Anolis sagrei: one gene and its partner. The protein of the gene in region 2 interacts with the protein of the main gene of each other region in a biochemical or structural test. Links are inferred from orthologs where the notes say so. Each region holds a gene or a part of one and is shown on either strand. Other genes may lie near its edges.

The links. The genes of interacting proteins can lie anywhere in the genome.
Region 1: the proteins of CCNA1 (region 2) and MYBL2 form a complex in vitro, tested with the Homo sapiens proteins (2 studies listed by BioGRID, with this or other methods). The link is inferred for Anolis sagrei from reciprocal best matches to the Homo sapiens genes CCNA1 and MYBL2.

Annotation. Positions count from the first base shown.
Region 1 is NC_090024.1:212,223,578-212,233,805, forward strand, and holds the start of MYBL2 (myb-related protein B), read left to right. Parts: upstream 1-5,024; 5' UTR 5,025-5,249; coding exon 5,250-5,269; intron 5,270-7,338; coding exon 7,339-7,426; intron 7,427-10,197; coding exon 10,198-10,228. UniProt on the Homo sapiens protein: Transcription factor involved in the regulation of cell survival, proliferation, and differentiation. Transactivates the expression of the CLU gene.
Region 2 is NC_090023.1:35,420,368-35,430,938, reverse strand, and holds the start of CCNA1 (cyclin-A1), read right to left. Parts: upstream 4,719-10,571; 5' UTR 4,649-4,718; intron 1,624-4,648; 5' UTR 1,601-1,623; coding exon 1,445-1,600; intron 1-1,444. UniProt on the Homo sapiens protein: May be involved in the control of the cell cycle at the G1/S (start) and G2/M (mitosis) transitions. May primarily function in the control of the germline meiotic cell cycle and additionally in the control of mitotic cell cycle in some somatic cells.

The DNA of each region.
Region 1 (10,228 bases), on a different chromosome or scaffold from region 2:
TGGCGGGAAGGTAACAGTGCTCCATGCAGTCATGCCAGCCACATGACCTTGGAGGCATCTACAGACAACACTGGCTCTTCAGCTCAGAAATGGAGATGAGCACCATCACTCTGAGTTGGACACCACTAGACTTAATGTCAAGGGGAGGCCTTTACCTTTACAATATAGGAAAAGAAATATGTCTGGGGGCCCTTCCACACAGCCCTATATCTCAGACTATCAAGTTAGAAAATCCCACAATATCTGATTTGAACTGGTTTATCTGAGTCCACACTGCCATAAATTCCAGTTCAAAGCAGAAAATGTGGGACTTTATTCAGCTGTGTGGAAGTAGCCTTAGAAGGAAGAAATACAGAAATATTTCTTAGTTTATGAAGCACAACAGTGCCATCTAAAGGCACAGGCTATGAATACCAAATTCTGACAAACTATGGCATTGTTCTGACTTGTCTTCCTATGACACCTGTCTTCTTGTACAGAATATTGGATGAATGGCACATTGGCTGCTGGAATGTACCAATTCTGTACTCGGTACCAAAACATATTAATGCAATTTTTAAACTCTCCTATTCTGTTTTAAACTTCTAGAAATTACAGCATTACTACTTTATGTTTATATCAGAGACTGGGAAAGGCATATTTATTTGGAATGAACAAATGAGTTCATTTAAATCGCAAAACATTTCTGTAATGGAGCAAAGTGGGTTCTTCATTGGCGAGTTCCTGAATATGCTTCTATGCAGGGCTTTGAAAGGTTACTTTTTAGAGTACAACTGAGCTGCAATACAAAAAAGTAGCTTTCCCAAGCCCTTATTGTCTGTATTGGAATACTGTGATGTTGTCCCCGTCCCCCCCCCCCCCCGAAGCAAAATACTGTTCATGATATGTGTGGTTTCTTGCTTATAGATAAATATTCCCTTTATGTATGTAAAGTTAAGTTGATTACCATTTGAGGAAGAATATCTACTTTACCTGGAGGTGTAAACTTTTCTTTGGATGTCAGGAAGTCACCTAACAAGTTATCTTCTACAGGAATGCATGGCTTTGATGGGATTAACTGCAATATTTCAACAGTCCTGTTGCACTTTAGAGAGGACTGGAATGTCTTATTCAACATAATATTTTACAGACTCCTCAACCCATCTGGTTGTATCTATTAAACCTGCCAGAAACTTATGATAAATAAAATGTGTTATTCTCCCAAGTGTTACAAGATTCCTTGTTGGCCCCTTCCAAACCCCACATTTTCTGCTTTGAACTGGAATATATGGCAGTTTGGACTCAGATAACCCCGTTCAAAGCAGATATTGTGGGATTTTCTGCCTTGATATTCTGGGCTATATGGCTGTGTGGAATGGCCATATAGAATATTGAAGTAAAGAATTACAATTAAATCACATGTGGCACTGGGAACAAATTTATTCTCTCTTTCCCTTTGAGCTAGAGAAGGTGACGTTTTAAATTGGCAGACTGTTATGCAGGAGAATGGGTGGGGAAGAGTTGCCACCGTGGCCAAAGGAAATTCAAATGCAAAAGGCATGTTGATGTCATCTTAACAGTAGTATTGTTGATTGACAGGAGGTTGATTAACACATACAGCAATAAGCCCTTTGTTACAGTTTGAGTCACAGGAGAACTTCCTGATGAATTCTTATTCAGCTGTGTCAATTTTCCTCTGTTCGTCGTATTCAAGAATGATCACCATGTGTTTGATGTAATGATGGTTTGCTGGGATTAATACATGTTCATACAGCAAATTGAGATTCTTATCACTACACTGTGATAATGTCATGGGATTAATGGTGGAATAATTGTGTGTGTATGTGTAATGTCAAAAGCAAATTGAGAATACAGTTATAATTCACAAAAAACCACAAAGTTAAAAACTTGGCATTATACTAAATTTCTTTTGAACAGAAGCTGGCCACTTGCAGTGCCTCTAGTGTCACTGTAAGAGGGTCGTCCATTGTGTAGGGCTGTTTTCCACCCTTGCATTTCATGGATTCCACTTTGAAGCCCCATTTCTTAAGATTGGCTCTGCGTCTTGTGGTGCCAGAGCGCAGTCTGTTCAGATTGAGGGTCCAGGTTTTAACTTGCCACTTTTGGACTCTTGCTTGCTGAGGTGTTCCTGCAAATATCTCTGTAGATCTTAGGAGGCTATTTCTTGATTTAGGGCATTGGCTTGCTGGTTGATATCCGAACAGAAGACACATTTGAGCATCCCCTGAGCAATATCTTGGTAGATGGTCAATTCTCTCACGCCAGAAGCAACTTGCAGTATGCAATTATTATTATTACACCACTGTAAATGCCATAGCAACATTGTTTGCATTTTGTAATTAGTGAGGCCCAAAAATTCTCTGACAAAGAATTCTCTCTAGGTTCCATACAGTGTTGAAAAGCAAAGAAAAATGGGTTCCCTTGGAATTAAAAAGGTCAGTATCCACTAATTGCAGTGATGCAAATGTATCTAAACACACAGAAGCTCAATGTATACATGCAAATACAAATGTCAGTAAAACATAGGATTGTTGCATTCACATTTAACAATAAATAATTTGTTCTTTTCTCGAAAAATTAAAAAATTCTTCTTCATGTGTGGAAATAGTACTTGACTCTTTACTACAGACGAGTAAACTCCAAATCCTTGCACAGTAAAGATGCTTGCCACAGATGCAGGTGAAATGTCAGGAGAGAATGCTTCTAGAACATGGCCATACAGCCCAAAAAACTTACAACAACCCAAATGTCCTATTTTCTTTATTACATAACATTCAACCGGTTTTGACTCACAGGAGTCTTCATCAGATAGTTGGGTCCTTAAACAATGCACGTTATTAATACACACAGCGTCATTTAAGGTAAAGTGACTTTTGAATAATGTATATTAAGATAAGACTTGTGTGGCAAAAGTTTGTTAATTGAATGGATGTATCAATGGAAAACTTAATATTACTATTTCAGATGTCAGATATTTGGCTATTTCTTCTCTCCCCCCCCCCCCCCTTCCCAAGATGGGTTTGTAAACCCGGTGTAACAATACAAGAGGGCATTGCCAGGAAATGAAGGTACATCCTATGCAGAAGATGCATTGTTGTATAAAAGAATCATCATATTGTGGATGATATTAAGTCCAGCAATAGTGTTGGTTCCGGGAGATACTGGACATAGTAGAGTCATGGTGGCTAAAGTGGACTCTACCAACGAAGATCTGCTTTTTGTATTGTTTCCTTGGGGGCATCTGCACGGTAGAATTAATGCAGTTTGGTATCACTTTAACTGGAGCCCCCGGTAGCACAGTGCGTTAAACCACTGAGCTGCTAAACTTGTTGACCGAAAGGTCGCAGGTTTGAATCTGGGGAGTGGGGTGAGCTCCCACTGTCAGCCCCAGCTTCTGCCAACCTAGCAATTTGAAAACATCCAAATGTGAGTAGATCAATAGGAACCGATCCAGTGGGAAGGTAACAGCGCTCCATGCAATCATGCTGGCCATGACCTTGGAGGTGTCTACAGACAATGCCGGCTCTTTGGCTTAGAAAAAGCACCAACCCCCAGAGCCGGACACGACTGGACTTAATATGAGGAGAAACCTTTACCTTTTTACTAGGTTGACAGAAGCTGGGGCTAACAGCGGGAGCTCACCCATCTCTGGATTTGAACCACCGCCTTCCAATCAGCAATTTCTGCAGCTTAGTGGTTTAACCCACTGCACCATTACGGCCCCTCGAAAGAACAATACACTATTTAAAATAATGAATAATTTTAACCAACATAAACTTGCCAGTATTTCAATGGGAAGTGTAGGCCTGCCTTTGGCTGATGAGACTCACGTTAATGAGGATTGTTGTTGTGAGCAAGTCATTTCAGACTTTATTGTTGTATTTTGTGGTACAGCAGGTTAAACTGCTGAGCTGCTCAACTTGCTGACTGAAAGGTTGGCGGATTGAATCCTAGGAGCGGGGTGCGCTCCTGCTGTTAGGCCCAGCTTCTGCCAACCTAGCAGTTCAAAAACATGCAAATGTTATTAGATCAATAGGTACCCCTTTGGATGTTTTTATGTTGAATGTTCTTATATTGAATGTTTTTATGTTGAATGTTTTTATATTGTATATAAGCTATTTTGCCCTATTTTGCCCTTGCCGACCAAGGGCAAGATGGATGGACAGCATCCTTGAAGTGACTGGACTGACCTTGAAGGACCTGGGGGTGGTGACGGCCGACAGGGAGCTCTGGCGTGGGCTGGGCCATGAGGTCACGAAGAGTCGGAGGCGACTGAACGAATGAACAACAAATAAGCTATTTTAAATTATAAGTCACTTGGAGCATTTTGGTGGAAAGCGACTAATTAAGAAATAAAGTGATGATGATGATGATTTGGTGGGAAGGTTAACAGCGCTCTATGCAGTCATGCCGGCCACATGACCTTAGAGGTGTCTACGGTCAATGCCGGCTCTTCAGCTTAGAAATGGAGATGAGCACCAAACCCCAGAGTCAGACACGACTGGCCTAAATGTCAGGGGGAAACCTTTTCCTTTATCTCTTACCACTTTAACTGCCATAGCTCAATTCCATGACATTCTGAAAGATGCAGTTTTACAAGGTCTGCCAGTTGCTGGTGCCACACCAAGCTACAAATCCCAGGATTCCACAGCATTGAGCCAAGGTCGTTAAAGAGGTATCAAACTGCATCAATTCTACAGTGTAGATGAACTCTATGTGGGAGTTTTTTTAAAAAAAGAAGGAATGAAAGAAGTTAGTTAATTAAAAATTTACAAAAGAGGAACCCACAGTGCTCATCTGATTATATTGATCGCTACTAGCTTGGGATGATGCACAGCTGGAAGGATCTGCTGACTTGAGCCTCTTAAACCAGAAGCTTCCCAACTTTGCCCGCGCGCGCCACTTTGGCCCCGCTTCTTTCCACCCCAGGTCCAATAGATTTTCGTTTCTCGTCCGCCGCGCGCACGGGACGTCACCACGCCGGAAGAAAGTGGTTGGCTGGCTGGCAGCCGGGGGCGGGGTTGGCGCGAGATAGGAAAAAATTGCTGCTCTGGAGACCCGGGCGGGCGCGAGCCATCCGCGCGCGCTAATCCTGGGCTCCCCTTTCCTTCCTTGCAATGGTGGCCAGCACTGTTGCTCTTGCTGCTGCTGCTGCTATAACCTCATCCACCTCTTCTTCTTCTTTGGGATCGTTATTTTAATTTATATTCTTGCCTAATTGTTTTTTTTTAAATCTAGAACAGAACAGGATGTCCCGCAAGGTTGGCTGGTGAGTTTTGCATTGGGGTTAAAATGATATTGCCTTAAATACTATAAATTTGATTAAGAGGGAAATAAGTGTGTGTGTGTGTGTGGGGGGGGGGGGTATTTCCTGGCCATTTCCCCAAAAGGTAATTTCTCTCATAGCAAAGAGAGATGTATCCCCCACAATAGTGGAAGTGATCCTATGGTTTCCATGGATGACTTAATTTGAAAGCGAGGTTGCTCTATTTTATTTTAATTTGGGTGCAATATTTTAAGGGGTGCTCCAGATGGCCCGCGTGAATTTCCAAGGCGGGAGAGGAACTCAATTCTCTTTGCGCCAAAAAAGGAAGGGGAAAGGAAGGTCCTCCCTGATCGATTTATTTTAAAGGGCTTGGGTTTTTATCTAGATCGATTTGGTAACTATTATTTCAGTGTGAAATCTTTAGATTACTTAAGCCCCTTCCATACAGCCCTATATCCCAGAATATCAAGGCAGAAAATCCCACAATACCTGCTTTGAACTGGGTTATCTGTGTCCACACTCAGATAATGTGGGATTTTCTGCCTTGATATTCTGGGATTTAGGCCCCTTCCACACAGCTGAATAAAATCCCACATTTTCTGCTTTAAACTGGAATATATGGCAGTGTGGACTCAGATAACCCAGTTTAAAGCAGATACTGTGGGATATTTTTTGCCTTGATATTCTGGGCTATATGGCTATATGGAAGGGCTCTTTCTCTTCCCTTCCCCCAGCACACCTGAATGGAGGAAATGGCAATGCATTTCCAATCACTGAAAAGGAAGTATGCATTTACATTGTAAAATTAATGTACTTTAACTCTTAGTTGCCATGCTGTAGAACCACAGAATTTGTAGTTTGCTGGAGCACCAGCTCTCTTTGTCAGAGAAGGCTAAAAACCTGGTAAAACTACAACTCACATGGTTTCATAGCATTGAACCATGGCAGTTAAAGCAGTATCAGACTGCATCAAATTTAGTATAAATGCACCCCGTGTCTTGTAACAAATACAAACTTCAGATTCCTTGGAGGTCATGAGAAAGTTATTGAAAGAAAGCAATTAAAAGAATCCACGAGCATGTGGACAATTGCAACGGGAAGGAGGAAACTATGAAAATGAACAAAATATGGCTACCATTCTTTCAAAAACTCTAAAATCAGGTCAGTAAATAAAGAGGATTGCAAGAAACAGGAGAATTCCTGTCATGAAACAATCATGACTAGATAACACCTCCCAACAAAGGATTCCCCCAGGCAGCAATCGCCCAGGCTTTGAAGCTGCAAAGTCATTTAAATGCTAATCAAGGTGGCCAATTTCAACATTCACACTTGCCTCCAACAGACAAGAGTTCTTTCTTCCTCCCTGGACATTCCTTCTTTACTTAGGCAATCTCTCGGGGGCCAAGGATGATGGTCCTCCAAGTCTGGTGGGTTCGTAGGTGGCTGTTCTGCATGTTCTCTCCCAGTGAGGACATTGGTTTCCAGGTGGAAGGACGTTTCTTAGCACGTTTCTCCCTTTTGCCCTCCATTTGTGCCTCTTCGAATTCCACAGCACTGCTGGTCACAGAAGGGTTGGCTTGCGGATCATCCAGTTGATTCAGTGGGTCTGTTAATTTGATTTATCTATATGGGCCTAAATCCAATTAACAGACCCACATAGTCAACTGGATGATCTGTAAGCCAATCCTTCTGCAAATCCTTCTAATTCATTATGTCTACTGTGGTTGAGAGTAACATTAGGAAGCACACTTTTCAACAAAATCACTGCTGTTTGCATGGATGGATGCAACTAGCAATATTTTAATAGGTGGGTTGCTGTGAGTTTTCCGGGCTGTATGGCCATGTTCAAGAAGCATTCTCTTCTGATGTTTCACCCACATCCATGGCAGGCATCCTCAGAGGTCATGAGGTCTGTTGGAAGCTAGGCAATTGGAATGTCCAGGCTCTTGAGCACTCTAGCTGGAGGTCAACTAAACCTTTTGCTGAATGAGAAAAGCTTAAATTCTCAACTGATGAACAAGGTAATTCAATATTGTGTTAACAAAGTGTCTCTTCCTTTCTTTTAAAACTAGTGAAGAGCAAGATGAATTGCACAGTCAAGACTCAGATGCTCAGGAACGGCGGGACAACAGGTGCAAAGTCAAATGGTCACGCGAAGAGGTATTGTCCTGTGGGGATTTTGGGGGTTAAGGTATGGAGTGGGATGGGAAACACTCTGGCGACATTCATCAAGAGCTATTATGAGAAGTCCTGACTTGAAAAGCTGGGGCATTTATGGTCCTTCAGAAGTCTCATCTGCCTTGGGCCCCTTCCACACTGCTCCTATATCCCAGGATCAGATCCTGGGATATATAACATTGTAGAAGGGGGCCAGGCCCGTAGCCAGGATTTCGTTTCGGGGGGGGCTGAATTTTTTTTCAGGGGGGGTTTCGGGGGGAGGCTGAGTTTCGGGGGGGGCTGAGTCTGAGTGAAAGAGGGGCTAGCCTAGCAAACCTTTTGTATCGTTACCCCAATACCCCCATGCATATGGGATATATTGAGTATGGTGATCAGATCATGATATGAATAAACATAACAGTTTAAATAATGCACCATTAAGGCTTTTTCGCGAACCACCATGAAAATTTCGGGGGGGGGGGGGGGGCTGAAGCCCCCCGAGCCCCCCCCCCCTGGCTACATGCCTGAAGGGGGCTTAGCAATTGCAGCCAGTATTTTACTTCTGGCAGGAAGGGCACTGTCAAATTTCAATAAATAAAATAGGAATCCTATGGATATCTCCCTTGTCCAGCTATTCAAAGATGCTGCCGTATTGGTCTAGAACAGTGGTTCTCAGCCTGTGGGTCCCCAGGTATTTTGGCCTGCAACTCCCTGAAATCCCATCCCATTTACTAGCTATTCAGATTTCTGGGAGTTGAAGGCCAAAACATCTGGGGACCCGCAGGATGAGAAACCACTGAATTAAAGCAAGGTAGGATATGTATTATCAATCAATGGTCTGGAACATCGGTATACAACGGGATCTTGCAGCACCTTAGCGAATAACTGAAATAATGAAGCTGGTAGCATAAGACTTTTGTAGACTTAAGAGTGCATCTACATTGTAGGATTATTGCACTTTGATTTCACTTTTACTGCTGTGGCTCAATACTATGGAATTCTGGGAGTTGTAGTTTAGTAAGTGTAGAGAAATGTTTATTATAGAGTGTTTAATGTACTGTGTTTAAACTGCATTTATGTATTACATTTATTGCCATGGCCTAGCTGTGAGGGATAGGTTGCCATGGTGACAAGACAAAGCCTCAGAGAAGGTGGGCGGAGCTTAAGGAGAAAAAGGTGGGAAAGTGGCAGTTAAGCTCCAGTCCGGTGGAGGAGACCCGGAGAAGAGCAGAGCCAGTTAAGGGCTCTGGGAAATAGCAGAGTCAAGAAAGGACTCTGGGGGAAAGTAGTTTAGTCCGGTGGAGGAGACCCGGAGAAGAGCAGAGCCAGTTAAGGGCTCTGGGAAATAGCAGAGTCAAGAAAGGACTCTGGGGAAAGTAGTTTAGTCCGGTGGAAGAGACCCGGGGAAGAGGAGAGCCAGTTAGGGCTCTGTTGTGAAGCTGTGAGAATTCAGTAGTTCCTAGAATTTGTGAATATTTCTTCAGCAAGAGAGCTGAAGGTGTTACCTTGTTAGATTGCTTAGGTTAAAGGAATCTAACAGAGGGGGGTTTTCAGGATTGCCAGTAAGGAAAGACTGGTGATCAGTGGTTTGTTCCGAGTATAGGGCAAACCGTGTGGATATTCACAATAGGGAACTCTGAGATAGTATAAGCACTTCACTAAAGAAGGAGTTTGTAGATTTGTAACATTCAGAAGCCTGAAAGTATCTCAAACCAGCCATTTTGTAACATCAAGCCTTGTGCCAAGTTCAAATTCTCAAAACTGCAACAATTACGTTCTGTTAACAATAAAACTTGTTCTCTTTGTATTTCAAACCTGCCTCCTCCATTGCTTCTATGCTTGGTGCATTCCACACTACCAAAATCACCTCACAACACAACTAAGGATAAACAGAGACATAAACCAGCGTCTCTAAACATATTGGTGGCAGCTTAATTGATATTTAAAAGAAGGTTCCTCACAGAATATTGGTGGGATTAACGCTTCGTTACAGTAAGGACCAGCGGTTTTCAGCAGAAAAGGCTAAAGACCTTGTAAAACTACAATTCCCATGATTTCATACCATTGAACCAAGGCAATTAAAGTGGTGTCAAACTGATTTAAGTGTGGTGATTGTGGTGGGGTGATGGCTTTGTTTGTTTTTTCTTTACTATAGCCCAGAGTTTGGGTGCTTACACAGTATGGCCCACATATCTGCAGGAAATATATTTCCAGACTTACAGTGGAAACAAAAACTTGTGGATAATAGTTAACTCTATTGAAATGAACCACCTCTGACGGAAGCATACCATAGAATTGTACTGGAGGGCCTAGAAACTGCCAAAAGAGAACAGTACTCTAGCATTTGTGGGTCCTCCATTGCAACTCTATGATCAATTTCTGGCCAAAGCACAATGTAGAATTCCACTGGATGACCTAGAAAATCCAACGAGAGAACACATTCCTTCCATTATATTGGAAGACGTAGAAAATGTCAAAGAGATTTTTTTGGCTGTGGTTAAGTGAAACAGTTGGTACTGATCCCCCAAATATTGCTGTCATACAGTATTTTCAAATATTTTGGTGTTTGATTCCCAAGAACTTCCACTCAATATAGCAAATGGCAAGGAATTGTGAGAATGGCACTTCAAAACATCTGCAGGTCTAAAAGTTCCTCGATTCATATACTATGATGTTAAAGGGCCACAAACACCTAATCTTACTGAAACTTATTCCTGAAATATTAGATTGCAATGTGTGTTCTTTATGTGGCCTGACAGTATTTCTCTTTGCAGGATGAGCTATTGAACTCCCTGGTGAATCAGT
Region 2 (10,571 bases):
ACTGACTAAAGGACTGGCAACATGGATGACGAACTGGATCACGTTTTTAGTTAAGAGTCGAACTGGATTGGTATTGATGTATGAATTGTGTTTTTATGTTTTTTATGTTTTTTATGCTTTTAACTTTTTTACTGTTGATTGTTATATTATGTTGTAAACCGCGTTGAGTCGCCGGCTAGGCTGAGAAACGGCGGTATATAAATATAGCAAATAAATAAATAAATAAAATCTCTACTGAGGATCACTGAAGATTAAAGCTATGCCCAGTTTCCAAACATCTGAAAACCACAAATATGGGTTTCAGATGAGGAATACAATACTAGATACATAAAATGAAGGGCATTCAGCAATGTGATACTTTCTCCTACTCCACTGTTTCCCAGCCTTTTTTGAACAGGGACTACTTTGACCAGAGATCAGTCTCCAACATTAGTACCAAAAGGGTTATGAATCAGTTTATCAACTTTAGATTTGGTTTGGTTTTTTGGGGTGCCGATTCAGAAAACTGCATTGGATAGAGTGATGTCTTGAATAAGGGAATTACTAAAAGATTATACATTGTGGTCTTAAAGAAGCAAAGACCACCAGCATTGAAGTGATGGTCCTCCACCATCAACTCCACTGGACTAGCCATGTTGCTTGGATGCCCGACCACCGTCTCCCAAAGCAGTTGCTCTACGCCGAACTCAAGAATGGAAAACTGAATGTTGGAGGACAGGAAAAGAGATTTAAAAATGGGCTCAAAGCCAACCTTAAAAACTCTGGCATAAAACAGAGAACTGGGAAGCCCTGGCCCTTGAGCACTCCAGTTGGAAGTCAGCTGTGACCAGCACTGATGTAGAATTTGAAGAGGCACGAATGGAGGTTAGAGAGAAATGTGCCAAGAGGAAGGCACATCAAGCCAACCCCGACTGGGACCGCCTTCCACCTGGAAACCGATGCCCTCACTGTGGGAGAAGATGCAAATCAAGAATAGGGCTCCACAGTCACCTACGAACCCACTGCCAGAACACCAAACTTGGAGGACCATCATCCTTGGACTATGAGAGATCACCTAAGTAAGTAAGTAAAATAATAACTCCACGTGGATACCAAAATCAGTCCAATTATATAACATAATATGGTAAAATAGTGTCTCTTATATCACATGGCAAAATCAATAATTACTTTTTGGAACTTTTATAGTGGGAATATTTTCAAGCCATTGGATGGTTGAATCCATGGATGCAGAACCCATGGATACAGAGAGCTGACTGTAATGCTGGTCAAACTGACTGATTATTTGTGAAATCAGTTTGCAGAATAAGGAGAAGATGTCTAGATAGTCATTTAAAACATCCACCATAACCAATTCTCAACATTTAGTTTAAGAGGTTGAAGACTTGCTCAGACCAAACTGACTGTGCCATGAGTTTCCTAGGAAGCCCACTCTTCCCCAATTTACCTGGGCACAGGGTCTCGGGCGCTGTCCATTTTCAGAGATCTCTCTCAGAACAGCCCTCTGAGGGGCATTTTGATGGGCATGAGGCTCAGCCATTTCCAACAGGTCATCCCAGCACCCCACCTGTTCCTTCTCTTTCTCTTTGCTGCTGGGATTCATTTTCTCAAGGACAGCAACTGATGCTGGGGTGAAAAGGAAACACACATTTAGTTATTTTTCATGATAACAGCTCTGATCTCTAGCCTGGTGCTTTAACTTTATTAAAAAAACCTGCAAAGTGCATTCTGCTTTTGAATGCTTGCCTTTGGTATTGAAGAAATTTTATTAATGGCATCATCCCCCAACTTAGAGTCTTGCAGATAGATTGACCTAAAATAACCATTCTTTTTCACACCTAGGGATGGTGGGATTTGTTGTGCTTCACATCCATAAGACTGCAGGTTGGAGAAAAGGTTAATCAGACCTTTCTTCTAGTTGCTGCTGCTGGCCCCTTATACACTGACTGGTCAATGACGTTCGAAGGAAGCTTCAGGCTGTGGCAGCTAGACAACAAACTTCCACAAAAAGTGCAAGAAAGACAGCCCTAAATGTGCTTCAGTGCTCGGTGATTTGTGTAATCACCATCTGGGCCTCAAACTGGTTCCAGAATGGAACGCCAAAGGCCATGTGCCTTTGAACCCCTCCCAATTTATGGCAACCCCATCACAAGGGTTGTTTTTTTTTAAAAAAGCTTTGTTCAGAAGGGGCCTACCATTGCATTCTTCTGAGGTTGAGAGCATGTGACCTTCCCAAGGTCAACCATTGGGTTTCCAAGACAGTGTAGCAATTCAAACCTTGGCCTCACAGAGTCCTAGTCCAATACTTAAACTATCACTCCATTCTGGCTCTTTCATCAGTACTAGTTAAAATATATACAAATACATTAAACATTTTGTTGAGAGGCATCCTGTTTCAGTGAGAATCATAAGCATGTTATCCTAGGTGGTAAGTGGCTTCCCAAAGCTATTTCACAGCAATTAAACCTCCCAGATTCCTCAGATGGCCTTTCATGCCAAGAAAAGGATGAATTGCTTCTTGGGGTTTACAGGTTGCAAGACTGCCTTATTCAACATCCAAAGCTACTTGTTTTTCAAAACCTGGAGTAAACATTCAGCTATTTCTTACAATACTCAATTTTCAAGCAATCCCTGTGGCCCTCACGAGCAAAATACTGGGTATAGTTTGACCACAGATTCATTCAGACATACTGATAGCCATGTCAAAGGCTATCAGTAAACATATCAGGAAATTAAATAATGCCAAAACTTAAAACCGGAGCATTATATGAACTTACCTGCAGCTTCCCCCAAACTGCAAACTGGTGTCACTGACCCATCACCTGCTTCCTTCCCTCCCTTCTCAAACCAAATCCATCTGTTTGGAACCAATGGGATTAGAGTGATTTAAGGGGAATGGAGCTGAAGATCCTAAGGTTTAAGGACCTCAGGTGGAACCAGGTTTCACTGCATTTACTTCCAAATGACTACATCAAAAGATGAGGAGATATTTAAGTGTTCCCAGGAGTATGTCCTGCAGAATCCAACAGGTCATGTTTCCAAACAGTTTGCAACTCTGTTGCTTTATTTCCAGAGGTATTCCTGTTGTATTCAAATCATAAAAACATGTTTCACTTGGAAAGAATCAGAGGGGGGGAAATAGGTGCATTTACACTCCCATCCTTCCTCTAATACTCTCAATACAGCATACACGTTTATTTCTCCACCTTGCAACCTCAAAAGGTAGTTCAGGCAAAAGTCGGTCCAATTTCCCCCAGTGACTTCCATGGCTTTGTAGACACTATACACTAGGCCTGAGCAAACTTGGGCCTTCCAGGTGTTTTGGACTTAAGCTTAAGCGGCTAAAGGGGGAAAGGAAGGGGCCCGAGGCTGTTGTTATTGTAGGAGTTGAAGTCCAGAACACCTGGAAGCAGGCCCATAGCCAGGATTTCAATTCGGGAGGGGGGCTGAGTTTGTTTCGGGGGTGCGGGGAGCGAGTCTGAGTGAAAGAGGGTCTAGCCTAGCAAACCTTTTGTATCGTTTTCTAATAACCCCATGCATATGGGATATATTGAGTATGGTGATCAGATCATGATATGAATAAACATAACAGTTTAAATAATGCACCAGTAAGGCCTTTTTGCGAACCACCATGAGAATTTCGGGGGGGGGGGGGGCTGAAGCCTGGAAGCCCCATGTTTTCCCAGGTCTGCGATACACTGAGTAATGCAGTTTGGCACTTGAACTGCCATAGCTCAATGCTATAAAATCATGGGAGTTTGTCGTTCAGCAGTTTGCCTTCTTTAACAATGAGAGCCTCACCAAACTACAAACCACCAGGAATCCACAGCATTGAGCCTTGCAGTTTTCATTCACACTGTACAATTAATGCAGTTTGGCAGCATGCTCCCTGCTATGGAATCTTGGGATCTGCAGTTTGGTGAAGGACCAGCACTCAATATTGGGCAGAGAAGGTTCAAAACCTTGTAAAACTATAAGCTTCCTTTCTCCTTCCTTTCTTCCTTTTTGTCCTTCCTTCCTTCTTTCTTTCCTTCCTCCTTACCTTCCTCCCTTCTCTCTCTCTCCTTCCATCCTTTCCTTCCACCCTTTTGTCCTTCCTTCCTTCCCTCTCTCCCTCTTTCTCATTCCTTCCCTATTGTCTTCCCTTCTCTTTTTCCTTCCTCTTCCCTTCCCTTCCACCCTTTCATCTTTCCTTCCTTCCCCCTTTCCTCCCTCTCTTCTTCTTTCTCCTTCCATCCTTACCTCTCTCCCTTTCTCCTTCCTTCCTTACCTTTTGTCTTTCCTCCCTTCTTCCATCTCTCCCTCTTTCTTCCATCCTTCCCTTCCTCCCTTTCGTTCTTCCTTCCTTCTCTCTTTCCTTCCTTCCTTCCATCACCAGGCAGTCATTCCTCCTAGCAGGGAGGCCCCCAAGTTAGAAAGTTTGCCCTTGCCTGCTCTACAGGGCTAAAAAACCATAAAAGAAAAGTTTGCTCCTCCTCTTCTGCCTGGCGTTTCCCCAAAGAGCAAGTGCCCACTGGTGGGGGTCTGAGGTTGGAAGGGCTTCCCATGCTCCCCAGCAGAAGCCCCCCCCCCCCCCGCTTCCTTTCTGCCCCGCATTTCCCTGCCAAAGGAGGGAGACCCATTTCTATGACGCAGCCGCCCAGTCCCCGACCTGTTGCGTCCTTTCCAGCTGGCAGCGGAGGTTTCCCTCCTGGCCTCTCCTGTCCCAACCCAAAGCAGGCCAAGGCTCCGAAACAAAGCCGGGACTGCGAATGGCCCGTGGGGACGCCCTCCTCGCAGCCTATATAGAGGACCGGACGCCGCCTCTTCCTCCGCCGCTACTTGGAAGCCGCCCGCGACTGTCTGTTGGGGATGGCTGTTGGTTGGAGCCTCTCGCTCCTTCCTCGGCATGCGGCAGGGAAGCCCAGGGAGAGCCAGCCTAGGCCCCTTCCCGCAAGAGAAACCACCACCACAACAACGCGTGGCTCAGTCTCGTCGCGTGTCCCGAGGTCCTTTTCTCCCCGGGCACAGCCACAGACCTTGTGAAGCAACAACTCCCAGGAACCCATAGCCTTGAGCCATTGCAGTTCAAAATGAGTTGATCTTACAGGGTAGATCAATGCACCCAAGGAGGTCCTTGGCCTCCATGGGTGCATCTATATCAGGCATGGGCAAACTTGGGCCCTCCAGGTGTGTTTTGGACTTCAACTCCCACAATTCCTGGCCTCAGGCCCTTTCTGTTCCCCCCTCAACCGCTTAAGCAAGGGCAAACTTAGGCCCTCCAGGTGTGTGTTGAACTTCAACTCCCAAAATTCCTGGCCTCAGATCCTTTCTGTTCCCTCCTCAGCCGCTTAATCATAGGCAAACTTGGGCCCTCCAGGTGTGTTTTGGACTTCAACTCCAAAACACACCTGGAGGGCCCAAGTTTGCCCATGCCTGATCTATATACTGTAGAAGTAATCCAGTTTTGACACCACTGGGAACTGCCCTGGCTCAATGCTTATTTGAAACACAAGATTTGTACACAGCCAACAAAATCACTATGCTGGCTGTTGTATTGATCACACTTCCCAAGTCTCTACAACTGTGTGGTGTATCAGCCAATAATGCGTGTAGATCTGAGCCTTTTGCAGCTGACAGGTGGTAATTTTGTCAGTGCCAATTGTGTTTAAGTGCAGAACAAGGTCTTTAGGAACTGCACCCATGTGCCAATCACCACTGGGCCCACCTTGACTGGCTTGTGCCAGTAAAGTAAAGTGTTATTATTATTACTATATTTATACCCCATGGGATCCTTTGATTTGCAGTTTATTGAGGCACAAGCACTCTGGCAAAGAAGGCCTTGTCAAACTACAAATCCCAGGATTCTGTAGCCTTGAGAAGGCAACCCCAGGTCGTGACAAGCTTAGTTCACTGTGCAATATACATCACAAATGTCAAACTCAAGGCCTGCAGGTGGAATCCGGCCCGTCATGTCATTTCATGTGTCCCCCTGGATGCTGGACTACAACTCCTGTATTCCTCATCATTAGGTATCATGAGTAGAGCTGATGAGAATTGGGATACAGTGGCATCTAGAAGGCTGCAGTTTGTTCTCTTTAGTCAGGAGAGTGGGCTCTGAATTTAGATATGTGAATATGGTAGAATCACTGAGTTGGAAGAGACCTCGTGGGCCATCCAGTCCAACCCCCTGCCAAGAAGCAGGAAATCACAGTCAAAGAACACATTTCAAATAGAAATAAAGTGGACATGCACAAAAATAAACATACTTTTTCATCTTACTGTATGTTTTGTTCCATTTTGAGAAATATTTTTATTTTATTTATGGTTTGCCATTGTTAATATTTTGAGTTAGATATATACCCACATGCCTGCAACACCTTTATTAGGACTGAGGACAGTTTCACAACAGGGTGCAACCTTTTGTATTCTCCAGAACGCTTTATCTAGGATGGCAGTGGTTTGACTTATTTATTTATGAACTGTTTAAATTGACTGTTTTTAAATTAACTTCAAGTAAGCCTGGTGATGCATTCTGGAGAACTGGAAATGCCGTTCACTGTTGTGGAAGCGTCGTTAATCCTAATAAAGGTATTGCCTCCTTATAAACTGACCTGGTAGAATTAATTTGCTCATTTATATACATTTGGCATGTAGGCTATGCAAGGAAATAAAATGGTATTAAAAATCCCCAGGAGGCATTTTTCAAAGTGTGACTCAGTTCTAGGTTTTAATCCGAGAGCAGTAAAGTTTTGCCATTGTTTTCCTGTTAGTTTCAACAGAAATTAATTATGCTTTGCTTTCCGTTGGTCTCCCTCTATGTGTTTGAGAGGATACTTAAGACTCCCTGCTTGAGATTTTCAGGGCTGTTCTTTTAATGAATGTTTTATTCAAGCCTCTTGTGTTTGGAGAGGTGGTTTAAGCAGCAAGAACAACAGCTGGAGCTCCCACAGTGAGCAGGGCTAATCTATAGGTGCAGCTGGAAGCTTGAGCTCTTTGTGGTTGTTATATGTTGTCAAGCTGACTTTGATTTATGGTGAATCTATGAATGCGAGACCTCCAAGAGCCCCACTCATCAAATGTCCTGCTCAAGTCTCCTAAACTCAGGGCAGTGGCTTCTTTGGGGGCATCTACACTGTAGAATTAACACAGCTATACACCAATTGAACTGCCATGGCTCAGTTTAGTTTTATAATGCCTTTCACCAAATTACAGTTCCCAAGGCTTCACAGTACTGAATCAGGGCAGTTAAAGTTGTGTCAAACGACATTAATTCTACAGTACAGACACTCTGGAATGTGTCCAGAAGAGGGCGACGAAAATGATCAAGGGTCTGGAGAACAAGCCCTATGAGGAGCTGCTTAAAGAGCTAGGCATTCAATTGACAGATCAGTCCTGATTTGTACTAGCCCTCTGTCTGTCTGTCTCTCTCTCTCTCTCTATTTTATCTAGTTCCTTCATATTTGCTCTTCCAAGTTTTATCCTTCTTCTGGTTTCTCGACTATCTAAATTTTGATCAATGAGTGAGTCAAATTATGGAAAATCTTTCACTATTTGAGGTCTTCAATATACCCACTTCAAAGTTATGTAAAGCATCTGTGGTCATTATTTTGGTTTTTAATTTTTTTTAGCTTTAACTCTGCTTTTGAACTGCCTTCCTTAACTGCCATCAATACTCGTTCAAAGTCTTTGCTATATTCTGCAATGGGATCAACTCCATATCTTACATTTCTGGTCTTCCTTCCCTCACTTTTGATGCCACCTTCTTCTGAGTCTAATCCTGCTTTGCATGTGATCTGCTTTGACCCCATTGCCAGTGTTTCTCTATATTGTGTCATTCTAGTGGCAGTTTTGTCAGGATATAATTCTGACAAATATAATACATCAAGTCAAGCAAACTGACATTTTTATTTCTTTTAGAGCAAACCCTATGGGTGGCCTTGGATAAATTATATCTTGCAGAATCAAAGGCTTTGTTGCAATCAAAGGATTACATGCTTTATTGGCATATATATATATATATATATATATATATATATATATGGTTATGTTGATTGTTTTTAATTGCTCTTTTGTGAATGTATGGCATGGAATTGTGCTAGCCTGTAACCTGCCTTGAGTTGCCATATCGCTCAGAAAGGCAGGCTTTAAATATAGCAAATAAATAAAGGCATAGGTGATTTCCCCCCTAAAATGTAGAGGTGATTCCATTATTCAACATATGTTTGCAAAAAATAACTCTTAGTAGTTTGCCTTTTTGTTAAAAAGCAGTTTAGACATTGGTTTTTCTTGCTTCATATGTAGCAAAAGTCTTTTCTTGTAAGATTTTAAGCATCCCTTTGCATGTATAGGAGACCAGGGCAGCAGCAGCAGCAATCACTCACATCTGAGTAGGATGGTGGCCTTCCAAGCCTTGGGTCCGTAGGTGGCTGTGGAGACCTTTTCTTGACCCACATGTTATTCCACAGTGAGGACACCAGTTTCCAGATGGAAGGCGGTCCTGGTCAGGGTTGGCATGATGCACCTTCCTGTTGACGTGTTTCTTCCTTTCGCCCTCCATTTGGCCTCAGCACTGTTGGTAACAGCTGACTTCCAGTTAGAGTGTTCAAGAGCCAGGGCTTCCCAGTTCTCAGTGTCTATGCCACCGTTTTAAAGGTTGGCTTTAAGCCCATCTTTAAATCTCTTTTCCTGTCCACCAACATTACATTTTCCGTTCATCAGTTGGGAGTAAAGTAACTGTTTTGGGAGACAGTGATTGGGCATTCAGACGTGGCCAGTCCAGTGGAGTTGATGGCGGAGGATCATTGCTTCAATACTGGTGGTCTTTGCTTCTTCCAGCACACTGATGTTTGTCCGCCTGTCTTCCCAAGAGATTTGCAGGATTTTTCAGAAACAACGCTTGGGGAGATAGGGCAGAATATTTAATAAGTTATTATTATTATTATTGCTGATGGAATTCTTCCAGGAGTTGGGTGTGAAGTCTGTAGATGGTCCACATTTCACAGGCGTATAGCAGGGTTGAGAGGACAATAGCCTTATAAACAAGCATTTTGGTCTTCCTGGGTAACAGTCCATGATTACTGCAGTCCATGGCATTCTCTTTCTTGAGGATGTGAATATATATGGAGCATTAAATGTACATTGAGCTCACTTTAGTATGACCTCTGTAACTGTAGAATTGGCATTTGCAGCTTTACCTACCCGCATTTGACAAAGTAGGGCCTCTCTGGCATTTTTCTAGGTCCTTCAGGCTAACCCATAAGAAGTTAACATAAATTTGAACTAGCAAAGGATACTTCTCTAGGAATGTGGATAATTATAAATGCTGATGAAAGGAACAACTTCCATTAGAAGCCAAAAAGGATGAACAGTGGGTCCTAGAGTTTAGTTCCAGGACTCCCCATAGATACTAAAATCCCAGGCTCCTCAAGTCCCATTGCATACAATGTTGTAGTAAATTGGTGTGCCTTATATAAATGGCAAAATATAAATATATAAATGTTTTTTTTTTTTGGAGGGGGATATTTTCAAGCCAATGGACAGTTGAATATGTCAATATGTAATATGTAATAACAGAGGGCTGGCTGTATTTTGCTATGCAATCAAAACACTTTTTTTGGCTATGCATTTTACAGCAAATCAAATTCTATCCTTAACTGGAAGTAAAAGACGAATACTTCATCCATGGTAGAAGGTTAAGATACAAACAGAAACTTCTGTTTGATAACCTTCTCTATTATACCACAGTAGCAGAGCTTTACAAACTTTTCCACCATGACTCCTTTCAGCCAGAGAAATGTTTACATGACCCCAAGTATACAGTTACTTGAAATAGGAATAAAAATATTAAACATTTACTGGTAACAAATCAGCATTTACAAGGCTTGTTAAATAGGTTGATTTTCCCTTTCTGTTTCTACAAACTTCCAAGACAGAGTCCCACGAAGCTGATCAAATGATGCATTTCCCATTTCATGAGTTGCTCACGGAATTCAGTTTATGCTGTGTGTAGAAACGGGAGGATTTGAAAGACTGGCAGAAATCGACTTCACTATGGTTACTGCCTGTGGCATCCTGGGCTATGTAGTCTGAATTGTAAATGACCCTCTCTCAACTGCAAAAAAATAGGGCTGCATAGGCTATTGCTATGGCAGTTCAGTTGGAATATAGCACTGCATTATATACACATTGAATATTTGAAATGCTTGTGCAGGTGCGACTGGTGGGGATGTGATACAGGGCTTCCTCAGTGGTGGCCCCTTGGCTGTGGAACTTCCTTGCCAGTGAGATTAGATCAGCCCCCTTCCTCCTAGCATTTAGGAAACAAGACCTGGCTATTCAATCAGGCATTTGCTGAATGACAGAAATATGGAAATAGTTAAAGATAACATCGGGATTATTGTTTTATAGTTTTATTGATTTTAATCTATTGTCATATGTTGATGATTTGATATGTGATGTTTTTATACATGTGAGGCATTGAATTTTACCGTTGATTATGTTGTGGAGTGATTATGTTGTGGACTGCTTTGAGTCCCCCAGGGGTGAGAAAAGCAGTATATAAATGCAATAAATAAATAAATAAATAAATAAAT